3 linked regions of the Arabidopsis thaliana genome follow. The protein of the gene in region 1 interacts with the protein of each later gene in a biochemical or structural test. Each region holds a gene or a part of one and is shown in the gene's direction. Other genes may lie near its edges.

Region 1 (3,600 bases):
GATTTACGTTTTTGGCGGGAAAATCTCGGGTTTACGTTTTTGGCGGGAAAATCTCGGGTTTACGTTTTTGGCGGGAAAATCTCGTGTTTACGTTTTTGGCGGGAAAATCTCGGGTTTACGTTTTTTGCGAGAAAATCACGGGTTTACTTTTTTTTGCGGGAAAATCACGGATTTATGTTTTTTGGTGGAAAAATTACGAGTTTACTTTTTCTCAATTTCATTGCTTGTATATTTAAGAAATTTGGAAAAATATTAATTTTATTAAATTGGTTTAGATGTGTTGGTTAAACCTAAATTGGCATTGGTTTAGAGATTTTAGTTGGTTTTATTCAATTTTACAAAATTTGATGGGTTAATTGGATAAACCATGGAAACCATTAACCATTACAACCTAACTCATTTTACTCATCAAACCAATTGACTCATCAACTCATTTGACTCATCAACTCATTTGAGTCAAAAATTTCAACTCATTAGGGTTCATGGGTTGAGTTGAGTTGAGTTGACCCATGAATTTTGACCCATTTTGACACCCCTACATATGATCATAAGTTAATAATCAAAAATTACTATTGATAACTTTTTAACGGAATTGTTTTGTAAGTTTCATTTACGTTATTTATATAAAAAAACATAATGCAAAAGTACTAATGTATAGTTATTTTTATTTTTAATAATGCAAAAATATTACTGTAATACTTTTTCATTCTTATCAATATTTTTTCTTATATTCAATTAGCCACCAACACCTACATTTCATATTTCTCTTCACATTCATTATTTTCTTGCTCTTGTATTCCTTCTTATCATCTTCATTGCCAATTTTTCATTGACATTGTCATCGTTACTTTGTATGTATGATTTTTGAACATTTAATGTGAATCCCAACCGACTATAGGACTATCAAGAAGTTTTCAAACTTTTTAAAAAAGATCTTGAACCTTTAAAGCAAATCCCAACCGACTATAGAACCATAGTCCTCTTCCTTGTTGATGAAGCTCTTCTCGTGCCGGCGAAAATCTAGGCCATAAAAGCCTCTTCAACATCACCTAGTATATTGACCGTGACCATCTTTTTGACCATTGCTTTGTGAATGAACCGTCGATAAACCGTGTTATCACTTACGCCAAATTTTTCCCTAGTGTTTGTTTCCAAACTCTCACGAATCCTTATCGAACTTTTTTATATATCACTTTGTAGCATTGGAAAGTATCTTTGTATGCTTTGTCTTAAACTTAGACATCCTTGTTCTCTTGGTTTTTTTGAACCTTGCTTGACTTAAATGAAGTTAAAAATTTGTAGTTAAAAATAGAAAATTTTACTAATTTGAGTTCGATTAATCATAGTCTAGATAATTTGAAAAAAATTAAAATAAATTTTGAAAATACTATATGTTTATTTTTTAAAAATAATTTACTAAATTGATAAGTGATATTAGATTAGTTTTTTTTTTCTTTTTTAAATTTTGAAAACCTCACAATTATTAAATTGAAAGATTCAAAATGCAATGTTAGTTTTTAAAAGTTTAATCACCCAAACGGATAATTGACCCGAACGACTAATTCAGGTCGTATACGGGTACAGTCAAATAACCCGACCCGAAATGCTCAACGGATCTGCACGGACGTTCGCATCGACGATTCACGGCTTTCGCGAATCGCATCACGAGCCTTCCTTCTCTCCTACGCCTCTTTCATCAACCCTTCTCTGCGAATCCAATTCTGGTATTTCACGATTCTCTTTCGACTACGCCCAATCGCAATTCCAGCCGTACGAATTTTATATATTGATTATGATCTTGATCCTTACCTTTTCGTCGTTTCCTTGATCGAATTTATGTTGATTTATGCTGCGAAATCAAAATTATGGATACAGAGTAATTTTGTATATATGGATGTGTAGGAGCTAAAATTAGCAAACAATACGTAAAGTAATTGAAATCGAAATCATAAACGTTTAAGGAAAGAGGTTTTTACTAAGTCTCTGAATAATCTGATTGATAGCTTGTGGTCAATGGATCAGATAAAAGTTTGTAAAGAATGACAAAGAAAATGAGAAGAGTGGGCAAGTACGAGGTTGGTCGCACAATAGGTGAAGGAACCTTTGCTAAGGTTAAGTTTGCGAGGAACACAGACACTGGTGATAATGTAGCCATCAAAATTATGGCTAAGAGTACAATACTTAAGAACAGAATGGTTGATCAGGTATGTTCTGGATTGTTTTTTACATGGAAACTAAGGTTGTTGCGTCAATGGTATGATCTTTGATTTCGTTTAAAGCTCTTTTACAGATAAAAAGAGAGATATCTATAATGAAGATTGTTCGTCACCCGAACATAGTGAGGTTGTATGAGGTATGTTTGTTTGTTTCCATGCATCTGCGAAATTTTATCTCTGAAGTGTTTTTGCATCATTGTTCTTCTGTTGTTTTTTTGTGATTTTCCCGATGTAGGTGTTGGCGAGTCCTTCGAAAATATATATAGTTTTGGAGTTTGTGACAGGAGGAGAGCTCTTTGATAGAATTGTACGGAACTTCCATACTTGTAGGCAGCGTCCATTAGTTAAAACCTCTCTACTTAATTTTTTAATATATGAAATCTTTCATGCAGGTTCATAAAGGGAGGCTTGAAGAAAGTGAGTCTCGGAAATACTTTCAACAGCTTGTAGATGCTGTTGCTCATTGTCACTGCAAGGGTGTTTACCACCGTGACCTAAAGGTAAAGACGTGTTTTTGTTTACCAATATTCCTCAGAATATCTCACTGCGTTGCAATCCAGACTTGATATTTTTGTGTCGCTATGTTATGTTATCTAGCCAGAAAATCTTTTACTCGATACAAATGGAAATCTGAAGGTTTCGGATTTCGGACTCAGTGCATTGCCTCAGGAAGTAAGTGCTCTTATCTCTGCTTCAGCAGTCTGCTTACGTGGTCATTAACTTGTTATATACTCAATCAGGGAGTAGAACTTCTGCGTACCACATGTGGAACTCCGAACTATGTAGCTCCAGAGGTACTTAGTGGACAGGGTTACGATGGTTCAGCAGCTGATATTTGGTCTTGCGGGGTTATTCTTTTCGTTATATTGGCTGGATATTTACCTTTTTCCGAGACGGATCTTCCAGGGTTGTACAGAAAAGTAAGTAACATATCTTTCGGGAAGAAATCATGAATTCCTTGTCATGGCTTTTGTCAAACCGTTTATTGATTTGGTTTTGCAATTTCACCCTTAGTTTTGAGCTTTTACACATTGTTATTTACAGATAAATGCAGCAGAGTTTTCTTGTCCACCGTGGTTTTCCGCAGAAGTGAAGTTTTTAATACATAGGATACTTGACCCCAATCCCAAAACAGTGAGTATTTTGCTTTGTTCTCTCCTAGCTATCAGGTTTTGGTGATATTTAATGTTCTAGTAATTATATCTGTTTATCTATTATTGTTTCTCAATTAGAGCAGCGTATTCAAATTCAAGGAATCAAGAAAGATCCTTGGTTCAGATTAAATTATGTGCCTATACGAGCAAGGGAAGAAGAAGAAGTGAATTTGGATGATATTCGTGCAGTTTTTGATGGAATTGAGGTTTGTGCTTCGCCTTCATTATAT
Region 2 (11,420 bases), on another chromosome or scaffold:
TAAATGATCACAGAGGGCATTAACTAGTTCACTGAGGTTCAACAATCTACTTGATCTTAACTCCTTTCGAATTAATATAGAAGTCGAGCACTTGAGGATCAGAAAACACACATTCATTCTCAGTGTCTGAAGCACTTGAGGGTCAGAAAACACACATTCATTCTCAGAGCGGCGTATAATTTTAAGATGTCAATCGCTCTTACGTAAAGATCGATAGCCATCCACCTAAACATATGCAATACTCCTTCTGTGAACAAGAAATTTATTGATAAAACCAAGTGTGTTAGCAAGTTAATCTTTACATAGAAATCAAGGACTCACTCTTAATGACCAGCAAAGTGTGTTAGCAAGTTGAGTGACCAGCAAAATTCTAACCCTAAAAAAGTAATGTAGAAAGCAAGCCCTCATTATCACCTTTACCGTGACATTTGGATTTCCATCTCTATCACCACCCATCCAGGAACCAAACTTTAGTGGATTCATTGATGCAATGCAGATAGAAGAAGAATAGAAGATGATGCAATGCAAGAAAGACATCCCTTGAGAGAGCCCAAACCATTCACCTTATTCCAATACATTAAAAGGTGTGGTTTTTCCCAAAAAAAAATTAAAGTAAATTTTTACTTTTAGAAAATTGGAAAGAAAATTTACAAATCAGATAAATGAGAATTTACAGCTCAATATTTCCATATCTTCCAAATATTTTCCATAGATTTTATTTTATTGGAAAAAGTATCTTCTTAAAATACCTTGAGAGGTTGTTTAGACTTTCTAAAATTTATTGGAAATTAATCTTAACCATATGCTTTAACTTTTGTTATTTACCTCGACGGGCCGATATTATATATATAGCAAAATTTGATTTTCGTGGAACTTATAGGCTTCTCTGCTGATCCAGAAGGAGATGAAAGTGATGGATAAGAATTTAGGGTTAGAGGAGGTTCAGAAACTTGAAGGTCACACTGATCGTGTTTGGAACGTCGCCTGGAATCCCGCCGCTGACGGTGTTATTGCTTCCTGCAGTGCCGATAAGACCGTACGAATCTGGGAGCAGAGTTCTCTTACTCGTTCCTGGACCTGCAAGGTCTCTCTTCTCTCTTTCTTTCGAATTTGATGTTGTTAGATAATGTGTCACTAATGAACATGAAGCCTCGTGATTGGTCAGGCTGTTTTGGAAGGCGCGCACACAAGAAGTGTGAAGTCGTTAGCTTGGTCACCGTCTGGGAAGTTTCGATGGCAATACTTGCGTTTGGGAAAATTTTGCTACTGACTCCGAGTCTGTCTCTGTTTTACGGGTACTAAATGTACTATCTCAAAGGCCTATCCTTTATGTGTTTGTTGACAACTGAAATTTATTGTAGGGCTTTGATGTCCCTCTGGGTTTCTTGACTTTTTAAAATCTCGTGGAATTTTCTTAGGGACATGAAAGCGAAGTCAAAAGTGTATCATGGAATGCATCTGGTTCGTTGCTTGCAACTTGTGGTAGAGACAAGTCTGTCTGGATTTGGGAAATACAACCAGAGGAGGACGATGAATTTGATACTATTGCAGTGTTAACTGGTCATTCAGAAGATGTTAAGATGGTCTTGTGGCATCCCACCATGGATGTTTTGTTCTCTTGCAGTTATGATAACACTATCAAGGTTAAGAGAACAATGCTTCAAATGTGCTTTCATGAATTGGTGTCATATCTATGCATAAGCATTTAACTGCAATGCTTGTGTTTCTATTAACAGATTTGGTGCTCTGAGGATGAAGATGGTGATTATAATTGTGTACAAACCTTAAGTGAACTTAACAAGTATATCCTCTATTTGTCTCTTCTTTACTTCTCACATGTTGAAATTTTCCTACCTTGATGCTATTGTTTTCTTGATATTTCTTTTATGCGTTTAGTAATATATGTTGCCTTTAATCTTCACTCAGTGGTCATTCTTCTACCGTCTGGAGTATCTCTTTTAATGCTGCAGGGGACAAGATGGTCACTTGTAGGTTGGTGAATCTTCTCCCCATTGTTTCGGATAGGAGATTTCATCTCTGTTACCTGGTCTGTTAACATTTGGATTGTCTGAACTTTGCAGTGATGATCTAGCAGTGAAAATATGGAAGACAGATATTTCAAGGATGCAATCTGGTGAAGGATATGTACCCTGGTGAGGATATAATGGCATTCAATTATCACTTCATAGAGTTTAGCATATACATCTTTCCTCTTTTGAAGATGTATTTTTTGTTATTGTATGGTCTATAAGTTTGACATAAGATACATGCGGTTGAATATTCTTCATTTGCTAGGGATTTCATGTTCTAACTTGTAGCTAATGAAATATTTACGTGCTTGATTTTTGCAGGACTCATGTTTGTACACTCTCTGGTTTTCACGATCGTACCATATATTCAGTTCATTGGTCAAGGTATAGACTTGTTGTCACTTTTGAGGGATTTGAAAGAAACAATTGTAAAGTCCTACTATATTCCCATGCCAACCAAGAAGATGATTTCTTACACCTGATAAATGCACTTTTTTAATCTAGTTCATTGATCAAATAAAGCTAAATTAGTAATAAGCTTTGCTGACCAATATTAATTGTCTTCTATGTGTCCTACTGGATAGATCGACATAAGTTTATGATAAGATCTGATACCTTGATAGGGACGGTGTTATTGCTAGTGGAGCAGGCGATGATACTATACAGTTATTTGTGGACAGCGACAGTGACTCTGTATGCCCTTGTCCCTTTTACCTATAATCACAAATCCCTCTTTTAGTATCATTTAGAAAATATCATTAACCATATCTTGTCCGGTTTACTTCTTGGCATATGCTCTGTGTCATCATTGTAGCACAACACAAGAAACCAAAGCTCATGGTTTCTTGATTGAATTTTTCGTTTGCTTTAGACTCTAGCCAGTGATTTTTCATTACATACAATATACCTTGTGTACAGCCAAATTGAAAAGCTGGTCATCATTGTGTCAGGTTGATGGACCTTCATACAAACTTTTGGTTAAGAAGGAGAAAGCACATGAAATGGATGTAAATTCGGTCCAATGGGCACCTGATGTAAGTTCATTTCCTTTCCTAAGGAGTAATTGGCTAAATATGTAAACAAATGCAGGGTAATCTTACTCGTATGTTGGTACTGAGTTTGGTTCATAAAAAAAATTGAAAGCTTGATTTTCTTGTTTAAACTAGTTTTAGCATATACGGCGAATCATCTCTTGCTAAAGATTCTGAAATCGAGATTTGCATTGCAGAAGGAAAGCCGGTTGCTTGCCTCGGCCAGCGACGATAAAATGGTTAAGATTTGGAAACTTGCCTCGGAGCCATGACCAGACGGATACATATTCTTTTAATTTGTTGGTTTCTAACTTAGTTAGAATTTCTATTTCATTGTTTAAGTAGGAGGAATGTGTTCTCTTAGTTAGATTTTCCTTTAGTATACACAGAGATGCAGCTTTGCTTGTCAAAAACTAGAGAAAGGATATCTCTATTTAAATTAAAAAGGGTCGCCTGAATTTTCAGCCCTATACTAACATTCCACCCTAAATTTTTAGCCACTTGAAAAACCACCATAAACAATTTTAATCTCGATAAAACTACATGTACTTTCGGATTTGTTCTTAAAACTACGCCTCCAATTGAACCGACCAGTTAACCGATAATTATACATCCGGTTTGACTTACCCATAATTTATCCAAAACTAATCCGATTTTGACTCTATTTTAACCCAATTTATACCCAAAAAATATATTCTCTAGAAGAAAAATACTTTTTATTTATTTTTATTTATTTTTGATAAAAAATTAAAAATAAATTAATTAATTTTACCAAAATAATAAAATAACAAAATATACCGCAAAATAATATAACAAAATAGACAACAAATTCTTTTTATAAATACAATGGTGTTATATATATAAATGTATTTGGTATATACTCTAAATTTAATAATTCAAAAGCCATTTTCTTTTTAAAAACACCATAATCATATATAAATATATATATATATATATACATATATAACTCATCTTGAATATATAAAAAGAAAACTGAATCTATAAAGAAAAATAAATTTATAAATACCATAAGATATACTTTGATTGTGGTGTTTATGGATATCTATAAAAATAAATTTGGCATATATTTTGAATTTTATTACATATATAGAGTTCAAAGGTCATATATTATGATTTCAAGAAAAATGAATATTTTTGTTTAAAAAAAGACATAGCTTTAAATTTATAAAAAAATATAAATGATTGCCAAAAGGAAAATGTATATGTTTGTATATTATCAAAATTTTATAACAAAATGTAGCTCAAAATATAATTTGGGGTATATTTTGTCATATTAAGTTTTGCTAAAATTAAGTAATAATTTAATATTTTTAATTGTTTATCACAAATACAAATTAATAAAAATACTTTTACTTCTTAATAAGACAATTTATTTACATTTTGTGTGGGTCAAAATTAGGCTAAAATAGAGTCAAAATCAGATTAGTTTCGGTTAAATTAGGGGTAAATCAAATCGGATGTATAATTATCGGTTAACTGGTCGGTTCAATTGGAGGCGTAGTTTTAAGAATAAATCCGAAAGTACATGTAGTTTTATCGAGATTAAAATTGTTTATGGAGGTTTTTCAAGTGGCTAAAAGTTTAGGGTGGAAAGTTGAGATTCCAACTAGTATATGGCTGAAAATTCAGGCAACCCAATTAAAAAGAAAGATTATGAGTTTTGTTGAGAAGAAAACACGTGCAATAAAGAGCTTTTTGGTTTCTTCTTTTGTGTTCACTCTGGAAAAGATGTTTCAGAAACAGAGGAATTGCAGAGTGTAGCACACCCACTCTTATTAGCATCGTGCAAACCGCAAAAAAAAAAAGATCCTTAATCTTTTGCGTCGTCTAATCCACTTTGTGTATGGAAATATTGGAATGGCTAAAGTTGCTAAAATTAATCAATTAGCTCTTCAACTATAGAGTTTGATAAGACATGATCGTCATCGACTAAGTTGATCCATGACAACTGGCCGACCAAATAATATTTTAGCATTGAAAATTTCTACTGTATATGTATTTTCAAAATTACATTCAATGATAGGATAGTGACAAATATTAATCTGAAAATATAACATTGTCTATTGTTTTATTTCTAAGTTGAATGTAATTTTGAAAATACATATACGTAGAAAATAATATTTTAGCCAATAAAAACTAAAAAGCTCTATATTTATTCTTGTTCTTTTTTTTCTTCTTCACCAATATATATGTTTACCAGTTTAGCCATTCCATAATATATTATTTTGTTTAAAAAAAAAAAAAAAATCAAATGGGGACCACCAAGGACGGTACATTCATTTGATTTTAGAGAATGGTTCAAATGACGGATATATTAGCGTGACATTTTGATAAACTGAAAAAATAATAAGTGAAGCAGAATCAAAGTTGCCACTTAGTCCGGAAGACTGTGATTGTGATTTTGAATGAACTCATGGAACAAGTTTCCTCTGTAAATTTTTCTCACTACTTTGATTTCTCATTTCTTCTCTGATTTTGTCTTTTTGTAATGTTCTTGTTCTTGTTTTGTTTTGGTGAAACAGAGATCAAGCTCTCTCACTGTCGGAGAGCAATTCTGCGCCGTCTTTATACCTTTCTTTGCCATTATCGATGTCCTAGTTTCCTCCGTCGGACAATGCTTCGATTGCCGCAGCACATCGCCTCGGACATGTCAGCACGCGGATCTGGAACGTCTTGCTCGTGAATCTCAATGTTGGTTTTCTTTTTGTTTTTGCCTCTCTCTCTCTCTCTCTCTTTCATTTCATGTCCAATGTGTTGTATACGTTCTTGGATCAATGCGTCTTCGAAATGACTCTGTTTGGAAGTTGATAAGTTTGAAAAGTTTGTTTCTTTTTTGCAGTTTCAGTCAATGAAGTTGAAGCTTTGTATGAGCTATTCAAGAAATTGAGCTGTTCAATTATTGATGACGGCTTGATTCACAAGGTCTGTTTTTTCTCTCTCAGATATGTCTAGTTGGTGAATTTTTCATAGGTTGATGATCATCACTTGACTCCTTTTCCTTTATGTGTGTGATTCATTGCTTTCAAGGCATTAAGTTTGCTCTTTTTAGATGATAGTTATCTCTCATTATAATTTATGGTTATGAAGAAATTTGATATTTCTGGTTTCCTAGGAAGAGCTTAGACTGGCGCTGTTCCAAGCTCCATATGGTGAGAACCTCTTTCTTGATAGGGTGAGTGGCTTCTCATGGTTTCTTGGACTTGTTGAGATGAAAGTTTTTTTTACTTTATATTGATTGGTGTTTTGCAGGTTTTTGATTTGTTCGATGAAAAGAAGAATGGGGTTATTGAGTTTGAGGAATTCATCCATGCACTCAGTGTCTTTCATCCCTATGCATCAATCCAGGAGAAGACCGATTGTAAGGATCAATATTACTACTAATATAACTCCTTGGATGATCTCAAGCATATGCTTTTATTATCTGTGACAGTTGCATTTAGGCTCTATGATCTAAGACAAACTGGATTCATTGAGCGAGAAGAGGTAAATAATAATCTGCCATTGCAAGTTGCAACCCTTCTTTTCAGCTTCATAATAAGTTGGACTTGTTAGGTGCAACAAATGGTTTCTGCTATTCTCTTGGAATCTGATATGATGCTATCCGATGAACTTCTGACCATGATTATTGATAAAGTGAGTTCTTGAAATCCCATCTCTCTTAGTGTGATGTATAATATTTTGGTAAATTTAGTTAGCACATGCTTCTTTTCTTTCTCTACTTTGTTTTTGCTAGACATTTGCTGATGCAGATTCTGACAAAGACGGTAAAATTAGTAAGGATGAATGGAATGTCTATGTGCATAAACATCCTAGCTTGTTGAAGAATATGACTCTTCCTTACCTAAAGTACCAAATCCTCTCTCTTTTTTAGATTAGCCCTTCCATTTAGGATTTCCTTTACTTTATCATCAACCATATCTGTATTTGAATTTGAAGGGATGTGACGACAGCATTCCCAAGTTTTATATTCAACACTGAGGTTGAAGACTGAGGCACAACTGTCCATGCAACACCGGTCATCTTTTTTCTGCTTGGTCCTGTAATTCGAGTGAGATTGTCATAGCGCAAGAGCAGAACGAGGAAAGAAGGTTTTCCTTATTTTATTTTAAGCCAACGTAGTTGATGATTATTAGCTGTAAGTAAAATTGTCAAGCACTTTGCTTTGTTTTGATGACTTTACTGTAATTGTTCCATTGAAAGTAATGAAGCATTTTTCTTTTCATCTTGCGTCTATGGCAGTATAGTTGATTTAAGTCTTGATTCTACCAAAGTTTGTGTTTTGTTTTCGGTCAATTGTGGAATATATAATTTATAGAAGATGTATTCGAATGAAATAATAGAGTAAGAGACAGAAAGCGTATAATGAGAACACTATGGACAGAATGTGAAAGAGAAGAGTGCGTGGTGAGAGAAAGGGACACAACACAATGGGACAGAGCAGTAATCAAGCAGACACTGCAGCTGCGACTTGTTCTTCCTCTGGGAGGAGAGTGCACACCAGTTTCCTGTCTCCATATACATTGTCCACACGCCCTGTTCCACATTTCAATCATTTGTCACATATCAGAATTCCGAAACCAGAATAAACTGAATCGAAAACCAAATGTGCAATCTATATCTTGGATGGTCTAATACCTGTGGTGGGCCAGAACTTGGAGGAGCGGAGCCAAGGCGCAGGGAAAGCAGCATACTCTCGAGAATACGGCTTTTTCCATGTGTCTGCCATTAGCAACGATGGGGGATGTGGAGCTCCCTGAGAAAACAAACAACCACCAACGTATGAATCTCAACTTCTCCGAACAATATTATTATTGGATATAATTATGATAAGTCTTTGTTTTCCTAATTACCTTGAGAACGTTGTTCTGGACATCTGCATTTCCTTTTTCAATCTGTGCAATTTCTTCCCTGATTGAAATGAGAGCATCGCAGAACCTGTCTAGCTCCGCCTGCAAACGAATATTATTTAGTTTCATCAAGTTGATACACTGAGAGAAGAAAGAGTCAATGAGAGATCTGCATATATCCATATTTACCTTGCTTTCACTCTCGGTTGGCTCAATCATAAGAGTTCCAGGGACAGGCCAAGACATTGTGGGTCCATGGAATCCATAGTCCATTAGCCGTTTCGCCACATCCTCTGGTTCTATTCCAGCAGTGTTCTACAAATTCATATTTGAATCGGTCAGTGATATGCATACCCAAAACAACTACTTTAATTTCAGTTCACAACATTTTCATACCTTGAAGCCTCTCAAGTCTATGATGAATTCGTGTGCTACTGTTCCGTTAACACCACGGAAAAGAACTGGGTAGTGTTTCTGTAAAAACAAATCAAGAGGAAAATTAGACTCCTTTCATTCTCAAAAGATGAATAGGTAAATAGAAGACAAAGATGTTCTACTACCTCTAGGCGCTTTGCCATGTAATTGGCATTCAAAATTGCAATCTTAGAGGCATCAGTGAGCCCACCAGATCCCATCATGGCAATGTAAGTATAAGATATAGGCAAGATAAGCGCAGATCCCCATGGTGCAGCGGATATTGCACCCAAAGGTGCTGTCTTCTCGGGTTGTGGGATACCACCAGTCGGTATCTGTATACATGGAAATGGAAGAAACAAAAAATTAAGGAATTAATCATCAATCACCAAGAAACATAAAAGTGATGAAGGATAAAAGACTAACCACGGGGTGAGAAGGAAGAAATGGTGCCAAATGATTCTTCACACCAATGGGACCCATACCAGGACCACCACCTCCATGAGGAATACAGAAGGTCTTGTGGAGATTGAGATGGCACACATCCGCTCCAATAAAACCAGGGCTCGTCAAACCAACCTACACGTACCCAACACCATGCTCTTACAAATTAGAGAAAATTCAAGATCTCTGTGTTCTGTTTTAGTAAGATATTTCACCTGTGCATTCATGTTGGCACCATCCATGTACACTTGACCTCCATTTTCGTGTATTATGTTGCAAATCTCGTCGATGCCCTCTTCATAGACTCCATGAGTTGAAGGGTATGTAACCATAAGAGCAGCTAAGTTGTCTTTGTTGGCTTCTGCAGCTTTTCTCACCTCCTCAATGTTAATGTTTCCCTTAGCATCAGTTCCAACTGTAATAATTTTCATCCCGCACATAGCAGCACTTGCAGGGTTTGTACCGTGTGCAGAGACAGGTATGATACACACATTACGGTGATGATCTCCTCTTGACTGAAAAATGCATTCATTCATTCACTTTTCAGCTTAATACAATTGAATAGAAGATTGTTAGGTAGAATAAGATCCAAATTTAGGATAAAAGATGTTACCATGTGATATGCGCGGATAACCATAAGCCCGGCATACTCACCAGCAGCACCAGCATTAGGTTGCAACGAGAAAGAGTCAAACCCAGTGATCGTACACAAGAGGTCACCCAAATTTTCGAACATTTCCTACATACATGTGGACAAGATATCAGTTCATTGTTCAACTTTCTAAATCAGACCTCAGATGAATCAAGAAAGTCACTAACCTGATAACCTTGTGCTTGTTCAACAGGAGCAAAAGGGTGAATGTCAGTGAAACTTGGCCATGTGACTGGCATCATTTCAGTTGTTGCATTTAGTTTCATCGTACAAGATCCCAACGGAATCATGCTGTGGCACAGTGATAGATCCTTTGACTGTAACTTGTGGATGTACCTAAGCAACTCATGCTCTGTGTGGTACCTAATCATATTATCAAAATGGAAAACAAAAATGAGATACTGCCAATCCACAAGTAATAAGCCACTCAAGATTCAAAGAACAGAATAATACATGTTGAAGATTGGGTGGGTAAGATAAGGACTCTCTCTTGTTAGGCTAGAAGGAATGGAATTCTGAACCTCGGGTGCTAGAGATTCAGCCGTAAATGGAACCTGAAGCGAATTGAGATAGTCAAATTTCATGCAAGGATCCTAGAAATGATATATCAATAACAAAAAGAGGTATGAACAACACTCACAGGCTTGCCAGAAGCAAAAACTTTGAAAAGTTTATCGACATCATCCAAGGTGGTTGTTTCGTCAAAGGAAGCAGTAATCTGAATTAAGTAATCATATCCAAATATTCAAATCTGTATGATGCTATGAGAGTAAAAACCTTGAAAGGCCAAAGCAAAGGAGACTCACAGTGGTTGAGTCCACAACACGCAGATTAATTTCACTTTTGGAAGCTGCATCAGCAATTGCATGTGCATCCGAACACTTAATTTTAACAGTGTCAAAGAAAGGAAGTTCTTGAACTTCTGCAACCCCAAGCTTGTTCAACCCTAAGGAAAATATACCAGCGAGACCATGGACACGCTGGGCAATAGATTTTAGACCTGCAGGTCCATGGTAAACAGCATACATGGCAGCCATGTTGGCAAGCAACGCCTGCAGGAAAATGAAAAGATGAAGTACTCATCAACATGAATCAACATATCATCTAGTTATCTGAACGAACTAATAGTGAAAAGTGAAAAATGAGTAATCAGATACTAAGAAGTAATTACTTGAGCAGTACAGATGTTGCTAGTGGCTTTGTCCCTCCTAATATGCTGTTCTCTAGTCTGCATAGCCATACGCAGAGCTTGCTTTCCTGAAGAATCAACACTAATACCAATAATCCTCCCAGGCATCATTCTCTTATACTCTTGTGAAGTAGCCAAGAACGCAGCATGAGGACCACCATAACCCATCGGAACACCAAACCTTTGAGCAGAGCCAACAACAATATCCGCCCCAAATTCTCCAGGAGGTTTCAACACAGTCAAAGCCAGCAAATCCGTAGCCATCACAACCTTAACACCATTAGCATGAGCATTCTTAACAAACTCAGCATAATCCAAGACTTCACCTTCAGTACCAGGATACTGAACAAGAACCCCACAAACATCACCAGAGCTGTAATCTATATCCTTAAGATCAGAGGTGACAACTTTCAAATCAAACCCATCAGCTCTAGTCTTACAAACATCAATAGTCTGAGGGTGACAGTTACTAGCAATGACAAAGGTCTTCTTTTTACCCTTAAGAATGTTGTTACACATGGCCATTGCCTCCGCAGCAGCAGTGCCTTCATCCAGAAGCGACGCATTGGACATAGGAAGACCCGTGAGATCTGTGATCACGGTCTGGAAATTGAGGAGCGATTCGAGACGACCTTGAGAGATCTCAGCTTGATAAGGAGTGTATTGAGTGTACCAAGCTGGATTCTCCATGATGTTACGGAGAATGACAGTAGGGACATGAGTGTTGTAGTAACCCATCCCGATGAAGGATTTGAAAACCTTGTTCTTGGAAGCTAAATCAACCATGTGTTG
Region 3 (11,420 bases), 5.4 Mb from region 1:
GATTAAAATTGAATGGCCGCATAAAATCAAATCAAATTGAAAGAAAATTATAGAATGATAATAGCACATAACACGGTCACTATTTATCTAAACTAAAAATTCATTTTTCGTTTTTTCTTGAACATTTCACATCTCTTTTTGCTTTCTCTTGGGTAATGGAGCCCCCAAAAATATCCAATAAAAACTCATTTGAAAAAATTTGCCTCACGCCATCACTCTTCCTTTTCTTATATTCCCAACATTCTCACTTTTATTCTCCTTCTTCTCAGTCGGGGTTTGGTGGATTACTCAAACAGAAATCAGTCTTCAAATTCTAAGGTATCGGATCACTGACAAAACCTAAGATCTTTTTTTTTTTTTTTTTTTTTTTGGTCTATAAATATATTGCTGTGGTCTTTTGTTTTTGAAAATCTTCTTCTCTTATAAGCCCCCTAGATTATGCTATTTAGTGAGCAGGTAGCGAAGAAGAAGATTACAATGTACTTGTTATTTGGCAACTTTAGTCTTCCCATTTTGGCTTGTTTTATTTTATTGAATATATAACATGAAAATCATCAATCTACATAGATTCTGTTTTTTTTTTTCAAGTGTGGTTGTGTTTACATGCACTTGTACTAGTAGATGTATATGTAGCTTTCAGTATATTTGCTTTCTTAGTCACCAAACAATTTTTTATACCCAATTTGTAACAAACTTCCAATAAAATGTATAAAACTCGTATTCATGCATGCCTTTTACAATTCTTGTTTTTAGACCAACTAAAAGTTTGTTAGTTAATTTCTATGTACCTTTGTATTATGAGTTTTTTGTTTGGTAGCTTATCTTCTGAATCATGTGCTTTGAATTTCAGATGAGTAATAAGAGATCGGTCGGGAGAGTATTGAGTCTAGATGATGATGAAGCAGAAGATAAGTTTTACAGGCTCAAGGTTCTTTTACCAAACAGCACAAGTGTGACACTCGCACTTACCAACCCTGAACCTAGAATGTCAATGAATAATTTTGTTAACTTGGTGAAAGAGGAATATGAGAAAAGCCTGAACAAATGTGTATTGTCCGGTAAGAAGAGGAAGCGGGTTGATTGGAATTTGGCTGTCAAATATTATCTCGAGTTTAACGGCGAAAAGATTAAAGAAATCGTTCGATTTGACAAGTTTAAGCCTGATTTGTGCAATGTACTCCGTCTTGATGTGAGTCGTTGTTTTTTTTGTTTTTTCATTGTGCTACTTGCTCTGTTACTACACAAACTTATAGCTTTGAGACAGCTTTTGCGGATCTGATTTTAAGTTTCTCAATAATAATACTTGTGATAGTTAACATATATAATTACAAGTTTATGTGTCTTTAAAATACAAGGTTATTACTTAGGTCCGAGTATGAATTTCTTCGTTTTTGTTGGTTTTGTTTATAGATTTGTAAGACGGCGCGTACAGAGAACCCGAGCCAGAGTGAAGAGTACAATCCTTCGGAAGAACAAGTGTTGCTTGGAGATGATAATGAAGAAACTAAGCAAATTTCAATGGTATGTTTCTGTGTACAACTTAGTAGAAATTGGTATAACTCAGATGATTTTGTAACTTGGCACATCTTGATATTGATTGTAGGATTCTGAAGAGGAAACTGAACCATTACGACCCTTGAAAATGTACTTTAGCCCCTCCGATTATTTGAAGCCATTCAAGATAGGAACAAAGTGTTATATTCATCAAGTGGTGAATATTTTGGAGAGTCATCTTTCAAGTGAGGAGAAGAAATGGTTTTGGGAGCATCCACAGTTCAAACATTTCTTCCATATGCATACGGATTCAAATCACAAGGTAATGGCCATGTGGATGCTTCTTCTTCGCACCGCTTGTGTTGATAAGAAGAAGGAATGTTGGTTTGTTGTCAACGGTGTTCCAATCCGCTATTCTCTTCAAGAACTTGCACTCATCTCTGGTTTATACTGCCATTCTTATCCAAAAAACTATAAAGCATTTGGCAGCTTAGGGTTCTCTGGTAAGCATTTTGGTGTTGGTGCAACAGTAACATATGCGAAAGTGAAGACAAAACTACTCTCAATGAAGAAATCTTCGAGAGAGCGTTTGAAAATGGCGGTCCTATTCTTCTTATGCAGCGTCATCATTGGGAAGAGAAAAACAGGGGAAAAAGCAGAGGCTGTGGAAGATTTCTTTCTTAAATCCGTGGAAGATCTAGAATGGTGTAAAACATTCCCATGGGGTCGATTAGCATTTGATAAGAATATGAAAGACATTTTTCATCTCATGGACCACTTTGATGAAGAATTGGGCGCAGCATGGGTGTTTCCTAGCTTCGTGATGCAGGTATGTATTTTGAATGTGTTTATGATATATAAACTGGTTACAACTGGTATAACTTGGTATAACTACTGTTTGAATGTTTTGGTGTTGTCTGTAGCTTCTAGCGTTTGAGACCATCCCAAATCTAATGAACAACTTTAGAAAACATGTTAGAGAAGCAGATCCTGAGTGTCCTAGGATGTGCAAGATGAAGTTCAAACCTAGTAGTATGAAAGGCTTTCCTATTTCGGAGTTGTATGATACTCTTGGTACAACAAAGGTTAGAAATGATTTAATCGTATATTATTACCTTAAATTTTAATTGAGAGTATAGGATACAAATTGTATTTTTTTCATTCACAGGAAATTAAGAGTATCATGCTTCCATCTCCTAGTGAAAAAGAACTTTTGAAGCAAATCATGGATGATGAGGTTGGACATGATGATGTGGATGATATGATTGTTGATGGTTGGACGAAGCGTATAATTAAGGAAAATAAGCCAATATGTTTTGAAGAGCTTCATATCCAAGATGTTAGTAGCCGTGAGATTGAGGCAAATCCAAAGAATGCGAATGTTGTTGGGGTAAGAGTTGGTCGGAAAAAGGTGGCTCTGAAGAAGGTGAGTGAAAAAGGAATTGTTGAGCAGCTACAGAAGCAGTTGGAAGATGGTTTAAACAGAATATATATGAAGATTGATGACATGGATACAAGACTTACATATGTGGAATCATGTGTGAAGAATCTAAAAGAAGCTAAAGATACTAAAGGTGAGAAGGAAGATGGAGAGAAAGAGAAAGAGTTGGAAGAGAATGACTTGGAAGAAGATGAGACTGAAACAGATAAAGAGAAAGAGAAAGAAGATGAGTCAAGTGAGAAGAGAAGCAAGGTGGAGAGGATGTACGGGAGAAAGAGAACACGCACAACAACGGCAAAAGAACAAGAAGAAAAAGGAGAAGAAATTCAAGTCGGTTTTCAAGAAACAAGTGAAAGAGGCAGAAAAAAGGCAAAGTTGACATGGAAGAAAGTGGATATTAAGGGTAAGGAGTCAGATTTTGACAAGGACTAAGAAGAAGTAAAAACTTTTGGTTTGTGTCAAGACTTGGTTAATGTGTGTTTTTTGGTATTATTATCATCTAGGTGTAACTGCGGATCAGGGAAACTCGATTACTACTAACGAAAGGGTGGTTGTTGAACCGTCTTCGAAAGTGGGAAGTTGGAAACTTGCTTCTAATCTCAAGTCCACGCGGCAGTATAATGTTCAGTAAGACTCCTTACATGTGACCTTTCTTTTGTTCCTGCACTTTAAGATCTCAACTTTGATCAATATAATGGTGTGTCTACAGGGTGGGTTCTTCACTTCCTCCTTGCTCTATCTCTTGCGTTGATGAACCATTTTCTGTCTCAGTTTCTTGTAAAGGTAAGCCTTATGCTTTAATTTTGTATAGTAATATGTCTGTGCTGCAAAATCTTAAATAGTGTTACTCCAACTAACTGACATTTTTATAATTTCTACTTTGTTTATGGAACAGAGAAAATTGACAACAGTAGGAAATGTTTTTAGTTACAAACTAACCTGATTTAGAAGAGTACTTTTCTGTAGAATGATAATTTACTTCACAAGCTTTTCATATTTCAGTTAATCCTGGACCTTTGAAGCATGTTGTTGAGAAGTATCCAGAGGCTTTGGAGAATTTGCTTCCAGGTTCTACTGTTCAAAATTATATCTTGGAGGTAAAGGTCTATTTGTTAAGTATTGAATAATTACATCAAATCAAGCTATGTACAATATTTTTTATGCAGGTGTTCGATGGATATAATAACCATGTTGCAGAAGGTACCAATGTTCTGATATGTATTGAGGGCTATTGTATCAATGACTCGATGGGCTTAAACCAAAAGGTGCGAGAATGTTCTGTTTATCACTGAACAAGAATTTAGCAATGTTCTATTTACTCTTCTAAGTTCATTGATGATGTCACAGGTTAATAGTTGTGGCTGCATTGATCTGTCTGGAATACTCCAAGTCACGGCTGGCTATGGGAAAACTAGTAACATCTGCTACCATTCTTTTGTAAGATGTAATAATTCATATCTTCTTATTTTCTAATGTCTTTTTTTTTAATATGTAGTATCTCTCTCGGTTATGTCTGGTATTGATGAGATCTTCAAGAAAGAGTCTCAGACTGAGAGACGAGAGCTCATGCTCTTAACAAAGGTTAGTATATCTGTAACATAGGTTTGATTGTGTCAATGCAGTCTTAGTTTGTTTCTCTTATTCTGTCTTTCTCATTCTGAAATCGTTTGTTTTGATCAGCTGCCTGAATGCTGTGTTGCTGGTTCAAATCTTACAAACCTCATTTTTAAAGTGACGGATTCAGATGGTGTTATGGATACTAGTATCCATCATGATGAAAAATCTGGATGTTTCCATACAATGAGCATTGAAACTGATTCAAGCAGCGATGAGAGTGAAATCAGATATGCCTTTGTCCATGGTTCCTGCAAAGTTCCTACTCTTTCTCTACCTGAGAGGGAGGGTGTCTTTTCTTTCAAGGTTTTCCATTCTCGATTTCCCGAGCTTCATCTGAGCTTAAAGGTAGTAATGTTGTGGACTGAGTTATCTTACAAGTTGCAATATGTTTTTACAATGAGTAGAAAATGCCGGTTGTTGATAACATGTCCTCTTGATTTACAGATTCAGCTTACACCTGCTCAAATACTTCAAAGAGATGAGACATCTTATTCAAGGATGGGTTTAACACCTAAATCAAAGATGGCTTCAACCACATATTCACCGGCTCTCAGTAGCCAAACTGGCCCGAGCCTGAGGGATGTGGCACAGTTCACTGAGGTATATGGCCATCACCATTTAAGCCACAGATATTGATGTTTACATTTCATTTATGCCTAGGAAAAGCAGAACGATTTCTCGAATGATCTAACTTTTGTTTTCCGAGTTAACTTTTGAATTTTCCTGCAGAGCTTTAAAGAAAATCTTATTGGATACAGTGAACACAGAGTGGAAATAGATGAGCGCCTACATTGTTTGGAAGCTGAACAAAACCAGGCTAAGGAAGAGTTGCGTACCTTGCAAGGTAACTATTATCATTTGAAGAAGTTTTGATAACTACGATGGGGATTGAATTTGCATTGATGCTTACCTGCTCATGTTGCCTAAACCTTTATCTCAGCTTCTCTAGAACCTCTCGGTGCTATGTTCCCAGAATGCCTATCCACCAAAGAATCAATGATGAAACAGATTGAAGAGAAGCATCATGACACTGCAGCATCAGTTTTCTGTTGTTTGTACAGAAAGTCACCGCCTCCACAGTCACTGTTTCTGTCAAAGAAAGGAGTATTTGGCCTCGTAGCACTTCTTGGTTCAGTTGCCTCCACCTCCCTTAGCAGGTGACATAAATTTATACCCACAGTGTTACTACTGATCATAGTGGCCAAAACTTTTGTATCTGAAGTCATTTGGTATGCAGGGTGTTATCTGAATATTTGGGAGAAGACATGTTGCTCGCTTTGGTATGCAAATCGGCACAAATTGGACCTAATAATGCTGAGTTTCTCAGGCTTCAGTCCAATCATCGGTTTCATGTTCTATGTCTTGATGCAATCAGGTATTTGTCAACATATCGATAGCTAAACCTTAGAGTCGTTTCTGACAGAATCATAAGTGATCTTTTCAAACACGCAGACCTTGGAAGGATGGACTTTTGGAGAACGATCCTCAGAAGAAATTAGCCATGGATGACCCAAAGCTGCCCGATGGAGATCCCATACCGGGTTTCAAGGGCTATGCCGTGAACATGATTGATTTGGCTCCAGAGGAGCTCACTGTTCAAACTTACTCAGGATACGGGCTTAGAGAGACTTTGTTCTATAATCTCTTTGGGAATTTACAGGTATAGAGACCCAAAAGCAAGTTAAAGCAGCTCTTCCACACATCAATGGTGGTGGTGCAGTCTCTTTAGATGGTTTTATCGCAAAAGATAACGGATTCATATATTCCGGGTGCAGGTACTTGACCTTTTCTTGATCCTTGTATCCGTTTTAGTTCTTGAATTTAAACTGTAAAGCTCAAAACTCGAGTTTTATTCCTTGCATCTGTATTTACTGCGGATGATATGATTTATGGTTTTTGGATCAGCATACCGGAATTTCATTTCCCGATTACACTAAAGGAGGATGAAGAAGTGAAGCTGAGAAAAATGGAAGCAGCAAGAGATAAAGTGAGAATGGCAGCGAAGAAGATAGAGGAGGAGAAGTGTTCAATGCGTAAGGTAGACAAGAAAATGAAGAAAACAAATGAAAAATATCACAATGTCACAAACTCATTAGAGCTAATCCAGTCTCAGTCTTTAGAGTAATGAGAGTAAAACTGGACCTAAAACGATTCAAACAGTTTGTTTACCTGTTGGTTATCGGTTTGGTTTTTGTGTTTTTGGATTAGTCACTTTTGTTCTGAAATTTCATTTTCTTTTTCGGTTAATGGTATTTTGTTCACCAATTTTCTATTTCAAAAGTTTGTTTTTGATCTTGCTGCTATGATCTTTTTAAATAACTAGATTTTTTGAACCATAACGAACATATTATAAGAAAATAGCCATGGTAGCAAAACCAAACTTTTAAAATATCACCAATCCAACAGACAAAAAGAGAATACTAGTGGGCAAAAAGTGAAGGAAAATTTATCATTTCACATCGTAATTTTTTGTTTAATTGAAAAAGTGCAAATGAAATGATGGGTCAACTATAAATAAAATAAAGATTTTGTAATTGAACTAAGAAAATAAAACTCTGTGGATCATGACGAAAGTTAGAAAAGTTAGGCACATGTAGTTTCAGTGTTGTCATGTTTTTTTTTATGTAAGAGTAGGAAGCTCTCTTATAGGACGGGTATGATCAGCTGACAAGTTCCAAACCCTATAAAAAGTGATGTACATTGTGGAATCTGGTAGCTTGACGATGATGAATGTGATATATCTCTTTCATAGTTACGTTTTCATGGTAATTGTTAAAATTTTCATAAACAATCGAGTTCATTTTTATCGGAATCATAATAATTACTACAAAAATGAGCATACGTATAAATGTAATTATCAATCATCTGTAAGAAAATTTGTATTAGTTAGTTTAAGAAATATATTAGCGACTTTTTTTTTGGTCACAAGAGTGTCCATTTTATTTATATCAAACATCAAACTAAGGTCCAAGACAAACACATCAAGCGAAGGTGTAAGACAAAATTTCTTATGAAATATATAATTAACTTTTTTAAAATTGGTGTATTTTCAGAAGTGAATAATATTTTAGGTTATTTTTATATCAAAAACTGCCTCTCATATTTATAATTTTTTAAAAGATTATTTGCCAACAACCACCACAAGTGTCAACAAAAGGAAATTAAAAAGTGAGGTGGGACTTGAAAACAGTACTACTCTAATATTTTTTTTGTTTGTCATAAATAGAAGGTCGAGGAAACATTGCTATATAGTTTATAGTACACGATATAAAAATATATTTTCAAAACCGACATAACATCGGGATCCATCTGCGCATGGACGGACACAAACCTAACCCGATGTTGGGAAGCTCGTCACAAATTTGTTCTTCTATTTAAATAACTCTCATTTTGCCCTTTTCCTCTTCCAACACCATTATTCAATTATTCAAGATCGAGACAAGTGAAGAGTCGACAAGAACATATAGAGATTCATCCATATCTTGGTTAGTTATTTTTGATCTTATTTTTTTTGTTTCTTCGATTCACCATTGCTGAGAAAATCTTTCATCTCTATCCAATGTTTTTTTTTTCTATCACTTCCATGTTTTGGTTTTCTGTTTCGTAATTTTTAGTCCACCTCAAGATATATGTAAAGGAATTCACTGTTTTCCTCTCTCTTTTTTTCGAAATGGAGGTTTATGAGCTTGAAGTTTATCCCATCTTGGGTTTTCTTCAAGAAAGAGTCAAAATATGTCCGTGTTTCCAGGAATCTTCTGATAAGATTTAGTATAATTCGGTTAAATATTAGAAAAAACAAACAAACCAAAGCAAAACCATTCTTTAAAACTGACTCAATTGAGTTCTTTAGTGCTATAGACTGAATTGAACCGTTTGATTTTTGTTTTTCTTCTAATTGAGTGTATAGTTTCCAACATTCCATTAATCATTCAATGGAATTTGGCTTTGGTTTTGGTTTCAATCGAAATCAAGTTATTTCAGATTAGAGATTACAAATTGGATCATATCCGGTTTGGTCCATCTCGGTTCGATTTTGGTGGGTGTTTAATTAGTTGGTAGCCATTAGATATTTAGAACTGTTTTTTTGTTTCTTGTGTCACTTTTGGTGATTTAGAGTCTAAGGAGAGGAGATGGCAAATTTGATTTCTTACTAAAAATCAAAGACCACACCTAATAAACTTATTTATAGCAAATAAATTATAAAAGTCAATAGCTGCAAGTTTTTTTTTTTTTCATTTTTACTATTTAAATACTTATAGAGAAAATAATTAATTTTAAAACGTCATATTGCTGCGTGGCCGGTTTGATTAAACAACATTTTTGTTATTAATTATACAAAAAGATCGCGAGAAGTAAACAACAAGATGAAAATACTGCTTCTAAATTAGATATGTCTAAGTTTGTTTACACGACGTACATTGAGTATGATTACGTATAGATCTAAAAAACAGGTAATGAGAATTTGGAGGCTCCACACATAACAAAATCAAAATGGTCCATAAATTAATACATTAATTAGAAATGTCATAGAAAAGCCAAATGCACCAAAACCTTCCTTAGGCATTAGTTGATCATTATTAATGATTCATTAATTAACCAACTAGGCTCATGTAGTTTTCAAATATATACTATATTAGATTTGAGGTTCCAAGTTCAAGATTCGCTTTGCCTGGTCAAAGACAGGCTCTGATATGTACCAAATTAAATGCTAGTATGGTTGAGGATTTTACGTGGCTTTTTTGGAACAAAACGAGATTTAAATATACTATATAGTCTCTAGATATTAGTGTAAGTGTAATCAAGCCCTTTTTGTTTTATTTATTAGTAAAACACATATAAATTGCCTACATTGAAAAAAGCAACAAAAGGTTGTCTCAATCTCGTGATTATTGATTTTTGATAAAGCATCACTTTTTAATGTGGTCCCATGGCCATTCATATTGTAACTCTTCTCTTAGTTCTCTATCCTTTTCGTTCAAAATCCATTCTAGTCTCTCTTCACTTAAAAATGTACTCACCAAAACAACTTAAATCATGTTGGGTCTGATTGGTAACACAAAACTTTAGCTGTTAGCTGGAGCGGTAAACTGTTACGAAATAGTACAAAACTGTCTAAAAGAGCTGTACAGAAAAGTTTAGAATAAAACTTTTTGTAACGTTTTTGATAAAGTTTTTTTGAATGGTAACTGTCAAAGTTGTACAGTTTGTACAACTTTGATAATGAGTTACCATTCAAAGCCGTTATTTATTCAACCTATCCGGCTTCTTATTATGTTCCTAAACTTACGACATGGTTGTATTACTCGCTTAAATGTGTTCTTGTGATTGAGTTGGACATAGGTTCAAGCTTATTTGGAAAAGAAAAGAAAACATCTTTGTAGATATTTACTAGAGTACATTGACTGATTCATGTATATACGTGGACCAACGTCGATTAGATTTGATATTGATCCGGTATTTGTATTTATGTATTATCTATATGTATGCATATATCATAGGAGACTTTGATCATTTATCTATGTTATTAGGGATAATAAAATTAGGAGTAAACTAATTATCTCTTATATCTATACACCTAGTCATTAGCGTGGCTAATACGGCGACTTGCCTACACCTTCTGTGAATTATATAATATTTGGTTTCATTACGTTTATTGTGAATCATTACTAAATTATAGATTAAATAGGGAAAACGCTGTTTTTGTTCTAATTTTGGCTACTTCTGTTAATGAATTGATTGTTTAGGGAGAGCTTACTAGCTGTCGTGAAAGCTACAACTATTTTAATGGCTAACTTTGCCACCTATATCCTATGTATTTATTATGTAAAAAAAAAAATGTATAAACCAATGACATAATCGTTCGTATAGCCGTCGACTTCTATTGTATATTTGCTCAAACGTCGACCCTTTCAAAATTTTAATATCGATGTTTGTCAAACTCTTGCAGATTTTGATGAATTCGACGCTAGATTGCCTTTAACGAAATTCAAATGTTACATATACATAGACGATATATATATACATGCATTAGATGTACATGATTAGTGCTCATCTACATTAATATTTCATGTATGTATATGTAATTAAATATTGAATTTCATTAGAAACATTTTGGTAATCTCGTGAGTTTGCCAAAATATGTTTACTTTGTTTGAGTTTGACCACAAAAAAAACACTAGAAAAGTCAATAACGTGACAAACTAAACAAGTTGCCTATTATTAATTGCACTCGATCTTAATTGGTTTGTTCTAGGACCATTTTTAGTAGAAGTAAAACCAGCGAAAACGAATGTAGGATTCAGTCGAAGGGTGTTTTATAAAATCATCAAATTATTAGGAACAATGAAATATCTGTAAATTAACCAAGATTATTTGCGTTTGGTTGTAGCGTGAGAAAAGCAAAGGCTAATAACAGTTGAGAGAAGGGTGTGTTTGTATGGGCTGCTCTGTATCGAAGAAGAAGAAGAAGAATGCAATGCGACCACCGGGATATGAGGATCCCGAGCTTCTTGCATCCGTCACGCCATGTTAGTTTTTAGTTTAAAATCTTATTAGTAAGACAATCTTTAAATGTTACAATAGCATGTTGTAGAGTTTGGTAAACTTTTTCAAATTTTATTTTACTTGTAATGGGAGGGACAATAGTCACGGTAGAAGAAGTGGAGGCTTTGTATGAACTGTTCAAGAAGCTAAGCAGCTCAATTATCGATGATGGTCTTATTCATAAGGTTTCTTCTTTCACTCTAAAAGGTCCATATGTAGACAGCAATTAGGTAATCTATATAGCTTAATTAGAGTTTAAAAGTTTGATGTTGCAGGAAGAATTTCAGCTGGCTTTATTCAGAAATAGGAACCGGAGGAATCTCTT

What was found.
Region 2: of the proteins of SOS2 (region 1) and CBL10, one has a biochemical effect on the other in vitro, tested with the Arabidopsis thaliana proteins (6 studies listed by BioGRID, with this or other methods).
Region 3: the proteins of SOS2 (region 1) and SOS3 form a complex in vitro, tested with the Arabidopsis thaliana proteins (3 studies listed by BioGRID, with this or other methods).

The regions. Positions count from the first base shown.
Region 1 is NC_003076.8:13,632,894-13,636,493, forward strand, and holds the start of SOS2 (Protein kinase superfamily protein), read left to right. Parts: upstream 1-1,505; 5' UTR 1,506-1,724; intron 1,725-2,022; 5' UTR 2,023-2,039; coding exon 2,040-2,204; intron 2,205-2,290; coding exon 2,291-2,353; intron 2,354-2,451; coding exon 2,452-2,523; intron 2,524-2,608; coding exon 2,609-2,716; intron 2,717-2,813; coding exon 2,814-2,888; intron 2,889-2,956; coding exon 2,957-3,136; intron 3,137-3,260; coding exon 3,261-3,350; intron 3,351-3,453; coding exon 3,454-3,576; intron 3,577-3,600. UniProt on the Arabidopsis thaliana protein: Involved in the regulatory pathway for the control of intracellular Na(+) and K(+) homeostasis and salt tolerance.
Region 2 is NC_003075.7:15,919,326-15,930,745, forward strand, and holds CBL10 (calcineurin B-like protein 10), read left to right. Parts: upstream 1-5,023; coding exon 5,024-5,071; intron 5,072-5,393; exon of another isoform or gene 5,394-5,495; coding exon of another isoform or gene 5,496-5,513; intron 5,514-5,604; coding exon 5,605-5,773; intron 5,774-5,921; coding exon 5,922-6,004; intron 6,005-6,194; coding exon 6,195-6,254; intron 6,255-6,331; coding exon 6,332-6,440; coding exon of another isoform or gene 6,441-6,463; exon of another isoform or gene 6,464-6,512; coding exon 6,513-6,565; intron 6,566-6,634; coding exon 6,635-6,715; coding exon of another isoform or gene 6,716-6,727; exon of another isoform or gene 6,728-6,815; coding exon 6,816-6,928; exon of another isoform or gene 6,929-7,018; coding exon 7,019-7,073; 3' UTR 7,074-7,303; downstream 7,304-11,420. Other genes in the region: AT4G32990 (Transducin/WD40 repeat-like superfamily protein), read left to right, coding at 905-1,084, 1,209-1,295, 1,419-1,643, 1,737-1,801, 1,927-1,992, 2,082-2,153, 2,352-2,414, 2,654-2,723 and 2 more; GLDP1 (glycine decarboxylase P-protein 1), read right to left, coding at 7,527-7,615, 7,718-7,835, 7,933-8,031, 8,119-8,244, 8,326-8,403, 8,490-8,678, 8,770-8,922, 9,003-9,302 and 6 more. UniProt on the Arabidopsis thaliana protein: Acts as a calcium sensor. CBL proteins interact with CIPK serine-threonine protein kinases. Binding of a CBL protein to the regulatory NAF domain of a CIPK protein lead to the activation of the kinase in a calcium-dependent manner.
Region 3 is NC_003076.8:8,239,748-8,251,167, reverse strand, and holds the start of SOS3 (Calcium-binding EF-hand family protein), read left to right. Parts: upstream 1-7,724; 5' UTR 7,725-8,037; exon of another isoform or gene 8,038-10,940; 5' UTR 10,941-10,988; coding exon 10,989-11,079; exon of another isoform or gene 11,080-11,181; coding exon of another isoform or gene 11,182-11,197; coding exon 11,198-11,280; intron 11,281-11,357; coding exon of another isoform or gene 11,358-11,370; coding exon 11,371-11,420. Other genes in the region: AT5G24275 (En/Spm-like transposon), read left to right, coding at 2,499-2,579, 2,663-3,338, 3,439-3,562, 3,645-3,718, 3,938-4,032, 4,102-4,200, 4,283-4,349, 4,431-4,516 and 6 more.